Nothobranchius furzeri: one gene and its partners. The protein of the gene in region 3 purifies or fractionates together with the protein of the main gene of each other region. This does not show direct contact. Links are inferred from orthologs where the notes say so. Each region holds a gene or a part of one and is shown on either strand. Other genes may lie near its edges.

Evidence for each region.
Region 1: the proteins of slc6a15 (region 3) and klhl36 purify together in Homo sapiens (co-immunoprecipitation; 3 studies listed by BioGRID and IntAct, counting the BioPlex papers as one, with this or other methods). This does not show direct contact. The link is inferred for Nothobranchius furzeri from reciprocal best matches to the Homo sapiens genes SLC6A15 and KLHL36.
Region 2: the proteins of slc6a15 (region 3) and golga5 purify together in Homo sapiens (co-immunoprecipitation; 3 studies listed by BioGRID and IntAct, counting the BioPlex papers as one, with this or other methods). This does not show direct contact. The link is inferred for Nothobranchius furzeri from reciprocal best matches to the Homo sapiens genes SLC6A15 and GOLGA5.

Annotation. Positions count from the first base shown.
Region 1 is NC_091744.1:86,535,610-86,539,764, forward strand, and holds the start of klhl36 (kelch-like protein 36), read right to left. Parts: upstream 2,953-4,155; 5' UTR 2,820-2,952; intron 426-2,819; coding exon of another isoform or gene 343-425; intron 1-342. Other genes in the region: cotl1 (coactosin-like protein), read left to right, coding at 343-425.
Region 2 is NC_091758.1:19,000,689-19,002,908, forward strand, and holds the end of golga5 (golgin subfamily A member 5), read right to left. Parts: coding exon 2,110-2,220; intron 1,958-2,109; coding exon 1,829-1,957; intron 1,757-1,828; coding exon 1,658-1,756; intron 1,566-1,657; coding exon 1,343-1,565; intron 1,261-1,342; coding exon 1,161-1,260; intron 1,083-1,160; coding exon 1,019-1,082; intron 943-1,018; coding exon 865-942; 3' UTR 530-864; downstream 1-529. UniProt on the Homo sapiens protein: Involved in maintaining Golgi structure. Stimulates the formation of Golgi stacks and ribbons. Involved in intra-Golgi retrograde transport.
Region 3 is NC_091744.1:48,494,514-48,498,170, reverse strand, and holds part of slc6a15 (sodium-dependent neutral amino acid transporter B(0)AT2), read left to right. Parts: intron 1-1,578; coding exon 1,579-1,689; intron 1,690-2,496; coding exon 2,497-2,738; intron 2,739-2,858; coding exon 2,859-3,057; intron 3,058-3,219; coding exon 3,220-3,412; intron 3,413-3,578; coding exon 3,579-3,657.

The DNA of each region.
Region 1 (4,155 bases), about 38 Mb from region 3:
TTTGGGGGGGGCAGGGGGGACATGTCCCCCCACTTTTTCCAAAGTCCAGTTTTGACCCCTGCACGTTTTACCGTCCAAAAACATTTTTACGCTATTTTAAATTGACACTGGTTGAGCTCTAGGACCAAGCGGAAAACAATCGTTTGTGTTGAAGCCTGTTTCCCATTAGAACATACTGTAAAGACCCCCGTGTCCCCCCCCCCCCCCACTTCTAAAGTGAAAATTACGTCCATACACACACACACACACACACACACACACGTCTGGAGCATTTTCTGCGCCTTGATTGCGACCTTTAGTGACTGAGATGTGGAAACTATAAAGCTGTGTTTTGTCCTGCAGGGCTGCGTTCGTGTATGAGGGCTCCATGATCGTGCCAGCAGCAACGGGGACTGATTATGAGGAGTTCAAGAAGCTGTGCAAAGGTAGTTGTGGTCTTTAATGTGATGATGATGTGGTCTCTGCTGAGGAATGACGCAATCCTGTGATGCTGTCAAAGCTTTTAACCACAGGGTGTACCTCAGAATCTGTCCTATGGCGTCTGTTCAAGTCAGAAATTTAGATTTTGACATCAAATGGGAACATTTTTTTCCAGTTTGTTGAACTTTTTCTCCTTTTTTAAACTGACGTTTGCCTACAGAGAACTAAAATCTTGTGAGCAAATATGAAAACTCAGAAGGAAGTTCCCTTGATGAGAGAGAAGCGTCTGTTGAGCTGGGCGGGGTTTAGCTCAGATTATCTATAACGCCATCACTCTTGGGGCTTTGCTCATGTTTTTTTTCTTTCTTCTTCCTGATTTATTTTTTAATACTCACATTTTTGTAGAAATAACTATCTGAATGCATTGTGCATGGCTCGGCTGCCGGCTTTGCTGTTGGTTCCTGTTCGATGATGACACACAGCTTTAGGCTTGTTTTCCTTATTTAGCAGCGTAGCTACTGCGTGCAGGAGGAACGGACGCAACTTTCAGATAAAGAGATTTAATATAAAATAAGTTATGCTTTCATTTTGTTCTAAATATCTCATCTTAAGAGGTTTAACCCAACTTTTAAATGGTTAAGTCAAGAAGCAGCTTCATCATTCGTCATGCTACCAAAATGTCTAAAATATTTGCTGCTTCAATCCTCATGAATGCATTTTCCATAGTTAAATTCATCACCTTACAATAAAAATGATTTCTAAAGCCTTCTGTTTGGTTTTTGGTAGTCAGCAAAACCCATTTCCTGAAGGATGGGCCGTTATGTCTTCTGTAAATCTTGTGATTTTCTTCGTCGCCACCACAAAACCATGTTTCTGCTTGTCAGCAGCTTTTGAATAGCTTTTCTTCTCAAACCGATCCCCAGAGAATAAATCCTCGTAAGTTTAGTTTAAAGGGACTTTACGGAGTTTTGAATTTTTATGCTCGTGATCGCCCCCTCAGGCCAAAAGCGTGACGGCAGCTTCAATAGTAGACTCGTGCACGAGGCGCGCATGCTGTACGTGCACACTCCTTAACGAAAATAACAGCTGAGACAGTTCTGTGTGTGTGTGTGTGTGTGTGTGTGTGTGTGTGTGTGTGTGTGTGTGTGTGTGTGTGTGTGTGTGTGTGTGTGTGTGTGTGTGTGTGTGTGTGTGTGTGTGTGTGTGTGTGTGTGTGTGTGTGTGTGTGTGTGTGTGGCCCAGAGGACAGAGGACAGGAGAACGTGCAGCTAATTAATTAAATAATGTGGTTCTGTATCTTTCTCTTCAGCACAGCCGACAAAGGTTTATGATGGGTCAGTCCTCCTGCATGCTCAGATCATTCCCTTCCCTTGCTTGAAAAATTGTTCCAAAATGAAAGTTGAACCCACATCTTTTTTATCTGTGAATTCAACGCCGTTCGGCGAGTCTCAAATAAAAATTTGGGCATCTTACTGTAAAAAATATACCACTAATGTAAAAAATAAACTCTAAATGAACGATGTTCACATCCAGAATCGAACCCAGATCCACTGCACGAAAGTCTGACGTTTTACTAGGTGAGCTAAAGCACCAGTGACATCCTTTGTATCTGTAATATTTATATCCTTGATGACAGCTGAAACAACGTCAAACCAAAGAACGGTTCGGAGTGAAAATGGCTGTTTTGTTGCTAATTAGCAGGAAATATCTAGAAGAAAGTTCTACAGAAAGTAGCTAAGGGTCCTCAGAAATGTAGCTAGCTTTGTCACTAGGCGTTAGGAACAGCGACAAAGTGGCACTGCCTCTCTCTCTGCTGCTAAAGCTACGGATAGCAAATGCTACGGGCGATGCCTGAGCGTGAACGCGCATGAAGCAGCCTGCTCGACCCGAGCATCTCTCTTTTTCTGTGATTTTACAGAAAAACAGGCAATCACAGTAAAAATGCCAGGGCTCATTCTACAGGACCAGGGCATTGCAGGAGAATGTATGAAGAAGACATTTATTATTTCTATACATGTTTTGGCTGTCACACTTCCATAATGCCCCTTTAAGCATGTTTGTGTGCAGAGAGACAAACCGGTGAGGACTAAACGTTGGTTTTAAACGGGTATTTTCTTTGGTTTAAAAAGACAGAATCAGCATATCTATTGAACAGATTAATGTGAAATGTTACGCCACTGTTCATGGTGGCTTCTGTTGTGTTTACGATGTCACAAAGTGAACCAGGACGCGCGTTCTTCCTCTGCAGACTCTTAAACATCCAGCAGGTTTGGGTGAAATGTAGCTTTAGCTGAACCTGATATGTATAATCTCATTAGGGTTTATCACCCAACCGAAGTGTAGTTAGAGAAGAAAAAGGACCAAGTTTGGATAAAGTTGACTCTCCTCGTTTTACCAACCTGACACCGTCCGCAGGAGACGGCTCTGGTTTCCAGTCTGCCTCAGAGGGAGCGTCCAGAGGAAGACCGTGCCACTCAGACAACCTTTGGTCACCTGACAGGAAGTCGACTCATGCATACCAGTGCCTTTCCTTTTTGCCATCTCATCACAGTTGTTTCAGTGCGGGTTTCCCTGCAGAAGCTAGCAGGTTGTCTGCAGAATCGGCACAAACTTAGCAGGAAGCTAAACCAGGAAGAGTCTGGCAGAGGCAGGAAGTAAGGGGGGTGTGGCGAGCTCTAGGTTGGCGAGAGGATTCCTGACTGTTCCTGTTCCTCTCCAGCACCTGAAACCGTTGCAACACAAGGAAAATCTGAGTGCATTGAGCAATTAGTTACAGTCACCGACTAACGGACCGTGAGCCAGTCTGGTGACTCCACTGATCCGCTGTGACCGATGAGAGCCTTTAGTTCCTGCTACTGCTGATAGGTGACTGGTCTGAAAACACCTCACCTGCCGGGAATGTCAACACCGATGGAGAAAAGTCGAGCTTTTCGTCCTTCAGAAGGACTGTTCTAATCTAAACAAAACAACAAGAAGACCCTTAAATCACTAATAATCATTTCTGTTGATTTATTGCTCCAATTAAGTTCTAATGAATGTAAATCATGTAAATGCATTTATAGCTGACCTGTTGTTAATATTCTGAGAAAACCCGTTACTCCAAAGACGAGAAACGCTCTCCAGCCGTCGGTCTTCAGTTTGACTGCGAGGGCTTTTTCAACTAACTCCACTACAGGAACTGCTGCCAGCTGATGTGGTTGCTGAGACGTTTCTCAGCTCAGTGCAGAGAAACGCCGTTTTCTTTTTCTGGGAACTCACTTTGCTGCTCACGGATGAGGGAAGCCCTGGTTTCAGAGGGACTTGTCACACATGCACGTCCAGCTGTGAAGCCACAAATAAAAAGCTGCAGTGTTGGAGAACGTCCCAGAGCTGCCGCGCGGCGAGTAACGGGTCGATGTTCCGGCCTCGGCTCGGACAGTTTTACTTTAAATCTGCTAACAGTTAGCTTTTGTCCAACGAATGGGTTCTTTTTTTTTATTTCTAGAGACCGGTGTGATCTCTCGGTGGAGAACAGCCACGATGATCATAACATTAGAGAACGAGGATTTTCTGCTTTTGTTCCCCAAACTGTGTTTTGGCTGCCGGCTGCAGCTGTTGTTCCAGGGATCTGACCTTTGATTGGAGCCAAATGCCTTCACCGTTCACTGTCCCACCAGTGGTTTGGCTCGAATGGGTTTAAATCCAGATTATGATCATACAGCATGGTGAAGATTAATCCACCAGATCTAAACTGCA
Region 2 (2,220 bases), on a different chromosome or scaffold from region 3:
AGTTTCATTTAAAAATTTATGTATATAAAATCAAAGACAGCACTTTTTCTTGGTTTAAAATGCAGAAAAAGAAAGCCCAAAGCTGATATCACCACTAACATGCTTCACAGGTGTGATGCTTTCATTAAAGGGAAATCCAACATTTAACTTGAAACCTTACAGGTGAGCCAAAGGAGTTCCCTTACCACTATCGGTTTTGTTTTGTCTAATCTGCATTTAGTTAAGAGAGGATCATCTATAGATCCTTAGATGCTACTTTGATTTATTTCCCCTTTTCTGTGATCTTAGTTTATTATATATTAAGTATCTGATGCATTAGTTCTCTCTCTCACACACACATTAAATGCACCTACACCCCTACTAAAGAAAATACCATGCACTGTGTAGAAACTCGATGTGAAGTCATTTTTGCATAGAAATACAAACCCTTATTGTTTATCCAACTTCTTTATGTAACTGAATTGCAAAACATTTTCTAAAGATTTAACTCAGCATCCAAGTCTGAACAGAGGCAAAAAATTAACTGTCGCATCATCTAACTTATTTATTAAAAGCTTATTTTTTCTTTTTACATAGTGTTGAACATACATAATCTCTCAAAACAACAGAGAACCGAGTGCATATGAGATGCAAGATGATTTTTATATAGCTTTAGATCAACACTTTATATAACTTCACTTTAAAAACCCAAATGCAGCGGTCGGCCTTTAATCCTTAGTTAGAAGCGGAATAAATCACAACAAATGTCTTTAGTTCATAATATATCTGTGCAAAATAGGAAGAGTCAGGTCCCACATCCCCGATTCCAGCAGCTTCCTCACACTGAAGGCCATAAAACCATTTCTAACTCAGATTTTAAGCCTTCTATCTTCCATCAGGACGACTGTGCATTTCAGGTGTGTAAGTCAGAAGAACAATCATGACCCACAGGTGCAATACCGCCTGGAAAAAACAAAACAGAAAATCAAACAGGTAAAGACATAACTGAACAACCCGCATGTCCTAAATAAGTCCTCACCATATATAGAATAACAAAAACTCTGGCCATAGGGTAGCGCCTCAGAAAGATTCCCAGTCTTATGCTGCAGGAAAAACACATTTCACTCACTACTGTGCAGGTTACAAACAGGAAACCAACATCACCGATGAAATAATCTTACCTGAAGCGGTCGATAGTGCTGGCTGCCTTGCGTACTTTGCCATACACTCCTCGACTGTCCTGGTCACTGAAGAGCACAGGCAAGTTTCTCTGTCGAGCTCCTGGCAGTCAGTGAAATACTTTTAATACAAGAACAACTATTCAAAATTACGTTGAAGAGAACCAAACAACTCCTCCTCCTACCCGGACCCTCTAGGTTGCTCATGTTGATGGTCGGCCCTCCACTTTGTCCGCCCTGAGCACTCTTCAGCTGTTGCTCCAGACGCTCCAGCTGAAAGACCAGGGAGCTTTTCTCTGTGCCCAGAGCCTCCAGCATGGTCTGCTTCTGGATGAGCGTCTCTGTCAGCTGGTGGAGTCGATTCTCCAGCTCTGTCTGGCTGCTGCTGCTGATCGTTTTATTGGTCAGCTGGAGGAGCAAAGAAAAACCAGGAAATCGATGATCAAAGCTGATTTGTGTGGAGCATCTTAAAATGAGCATGCCGAGACGCCGCTGCTCACCTGATTCCTGAGTTTCTGGATTTCATCTTCTCGGTCTTTAATGCGGATCTGCAGAGTGCTTTTGGCTCGGTGTTGCTCATCCTCAAGATACTGTAGCTCCTAAAACAGCATTCTAAGACATTATGTTGCATTTGTCAGGGTGGTATTTAGACACGATCATAGGTCTCTTACGTGTTTGTAGCGCTCCACTTCAGCCTCCAACTCCTGCTTGGCCCAGTTTTGTAAGGCCTGTTGTTCCTGTAACTGCACCTGCTGCTCCCGCCAAGTTTCTGTCTCTGCCAGGGCCTGATTCTCCACATCCTGGGAGGAAATTAGACTTTAAAACTGAATAAGTCAAATCTCAGTGGAGTTTTGGATGTTTAATGACAGAGAATTAATCCGAGTCACCTGAATATTTTACCACAGCATAAAGAAGTAGGGATTATAAATTACTACCATTTCATAAAGCTCACCTGTATTTCTGACCGCAGCGCGCTCACTTGCGCCTGTAGTTTTTGAATCTCCTCCCTCTGAAGCTCCTTTTCATGTCGGAGCTCCTCGAGCTCCAGGATCATGGTCCCGCT
Region 3 (3,657 bases):
TTTTCTTTCCCTGTAATGCCTTACATTACCACATTACAGCAAAAAGCAATGCATTACAGTAATTAATTACTTTAGTACCGCGTTACTCCCAACACTGAGTATGAAAAGGGATGAAACGGGTTTGGTTGCTATGGTTACACGCTTTCTTTTGGCTGGCTTAGTTGCCAGGAGTGTGGCAAAGAAGGAGTTGGGAGGGGGCATCTTATTTGGGCACGTGTTGGACCAGATTTCAATAAAATAGCTGAAAATGCTTTGGTGATCATTAAAATAATTTCTTTTTTTTTGCCATGAAAGGATGTTAGAGCTGTTGTGTGTGCTAACATTACATGTTTGTGACCTCTCCTGTACAGAGGGGCTCCCCGAACATGGCCCCCACGAGCAGCACCTGCAGTCTATCTGTTAGCGTTATCGCTGATGGAGCATCAAGCTGCAGTGGCAGACAGACAGGCTGTGTGGCTTTTTCTGACCAAGGCTACAGCTGTGTTGTGTAAGAAAGCACAGCCATGGGAGGGCTGACTCACACCAGCCCTGACGAGAGCTGCAGCTGAGGGGGAAAAGTCTAAAATAAATAAGTTTCAAAAGGAGAGAAAAGCAGTTGAAACACTTGACTTCTCAGCAGCAAATCAGATCTTTATTGCAATTATAACTGATTCAAATTATTGAAATTTTCAACTACACATAAACGCATGAGTGTCCAAGGTTCACTTGCAGTGTAAATATACTCTACCATGATTGTTGCAACATGTTTGTATTATAATTCTGGATGTTTTATTCATAATGTAGACCAAAGTTTAGTTTAGCTTTAAAAACGACATCTTCTTGGGAAAGTTACAAACCAGAGAACACGTTTCCATTTTCTAAACAATGACTACACAGTCCTGTTGGGGTTTCATTCATCTTTAAGGAGACGTTACGCCATCACAGCTACACGGGATGTTTCTGAGTCATCTAATGAGTCAACCACAAATCACCTGTTAGAGTGCAACCACGCCCCGACAGCCGCCGTGGCTGACTCAGGCCTTCAGATCCAACCTCTGAACAAATCCTCTGTGTGTGTGTGTGTGTGTGTGTGTGTGTGGGGGGGGGGGGGGGGGGGGATAATTATTGTAAAGAAAAGTGTTGAAAAAGTACAAAACCCCCATTTTAGAAACTTGAAGCAGAATGTCCCGCTGTAGAAATATACCTTCTATTTGCATTGTTTCTGGTTCAAATCATTTGTTGCACTCACACATTTAATCTCACTGTGGAAGCCCTAACATGGAGGTCGCCACCTGTGTGTGTGTAACGGGCTGATTATAGTTATCAGAACAAAAACATGGTGAACCCAGTATTTAGTCCGTCCCACTTTCCTGTTTATAACCCGACTCTCCATCATTTCAGTGACGTTCAACTGTGAGAGGGTTATGTTTTTACGTTAAGCTTGCCCTAATTACCAGGCTCTTATTGTGAAGGGGTTTTACAGGGTGTTATGTCTCATGCAGGCAGGGCCTATGATGCTGTCAGAATAATAAAGATAGTTACTGTAAACCAGCACCCACTGTGTAAAACTGATGACACCCCCCCCCCCCCCCCCTGCAGGTGATGTACTTCAGCTCCTTGTTTCCATACGTTGTTCTGATCTGTTTCCTGGCTCGGGCGCTGCTCCTGAAGGGCTCCGTGGACGGGATTCGTCACATGTTCACACCCAAGGTAAAGCACATCAGAGGTCAGAGTGAACCCTAACCCGTCAGACTCTGTTCTGTATTACTGCTGTTTTACGTTTGAGTTTTAGTCCTCTACAGCTGGTTTATCTGCTTACATGTAAACCATAAGTAGTTTTTGCTCAATAAACAGAAATATGGGCAAAAATACAGGATTAAAGCTAATCCTAATGAATTAAACATATTGTTAGATTACCATATCAGAGCCGTTTCCTCATCTCCCTGATGGTTTCACCGTTTAACTGCTGGAACTCAAAAGACTACATCTGTAGCTTGATAGGCTGGCTCTCCAGCACCCTCAGCCAATAGCATGACAGGCCACAGAACCGTGTCTCCATGGAAACAGGAGGTACCGCGTCCTTATGTAGCCGGCCAGCAGAAGATACTCCTAGTCAGCAGAGTGCCTGTCGCATGTGTGCTCTCTCAGCTCCTCCAGCGTGCGTGTCCTTAGATTCTCATCTAAACAAGCTGGATTTTATGAAAGCTTCACGTATTTCTGTTAAATTCTTAAATGTGTATTTTTGAAGTTATGTGTTTACCATAAATCAAGGAAAACGCCAGTTCAATGAAAATAATCTACATAATAGTGATGCAGGCTGCGGAGTGAGGGTTTGTGTGTGTGTGTGTGTGTGTGTGTGTGTGTGTGTGTGTGTGTGTGTGTGTGTGTGTGTGTGTGTGTGTGTGTTTGTGTGTGTGTGTGTGTGTATGTGTGTGTGTGTGTGTGTGTGTGTGTGGGCCTGACTTATTTTGACGAGGCACACTGAACCCTAACCCAGTATTCCTGCACTGCTCTCAGCTGGAGATCATGCTGGAGGCCAAAGTGTGGCGAGAGGCGGCCACACAGGTCTTCTTCGCGCTCGGTCTTGGCTTCGGCGGCGTCATCGCCTTTTCCAGCTACAACAAGCGCAACAACAACTGCCACTTTGATGCCGTCTTGGTATCATTCATCAATTTCTTCACCTCCGTGCTGGCCACCCTGGTGGTGTTTGCTGTGCTGGGCTTTAAAGCCAACATCATGACCAGCAAATGCATTTCTCTGTGAGTAGAACGGACAGTGAGCGATCAACCACTCAAGTGTGGTCCAGAGGTCTTTAGGGAAGACCGTCCAAATCCAGAAGTTTGTCTACACGTGTTAAAGACTGTCTCGTTGTCTTTTAGGAACACCAATAAGATTGTGGCTTTGTTGGGGAATGGCATTGAACCGAGCCTCATCCCCCACCACATAAACCTGACTCAGGTCAGTCAGGTCAGCGCTGACGACTACCATCAGATGACCGAGATTCTCAGAGGCGTGAAGGAGAACGAGTACCAGAACCTGGGCCTGGAGCCCTGCAGCATTGAAGCCGAGCTCAATAAGGTAACCCCAAAGAAATATCTGCCCGTGTTTCAGAAGGATCTAAATGTTTTAGTCAGCGTATGAAACTACATCTAGGAAACCTTTCCCATCTCTGGAGGAAGGCTTGTTTCTGCAGCCACCTACTGGTTTGCTGGTTTGTGATTGTTTTCCTTCCTTTAACAGGCGGTCCAAGGCACAGGTCTGGCCTTCATTGCCTTCACAGAAGCCATGACCCACTTCCCCGCCTCGCCCTTCTGGTCGGTCATGTTCTTCCTCATGCTGATCAACCTGGGCCTCGGCAGCATGTTTGGCACCATCGAGGGAATTCTCACGCCGCTGATCGATGCCTTCAAAGTCCGCAAGGAGTTTCTGACGGGTTAGTCTTTGTTCAGCCTTGTACGAATATTGATGTTTAAACAGTCATGCTTCAAACTAAGTTTAAAATGGAAAATATGAACTCTACACCTCTAACTTATTCCCCGAGACGGTCAGAGGACCTTATCCTGACACCCTGAGGATTCGGTGTGTTTGTCCTCCTGCAGTGGGATGCTGTACGTTGGCCTTCTCCATCGGCCTCCTGTTTGTTCAGCGCTCAGGGAACTACTTTGTGGCCATGTTTGA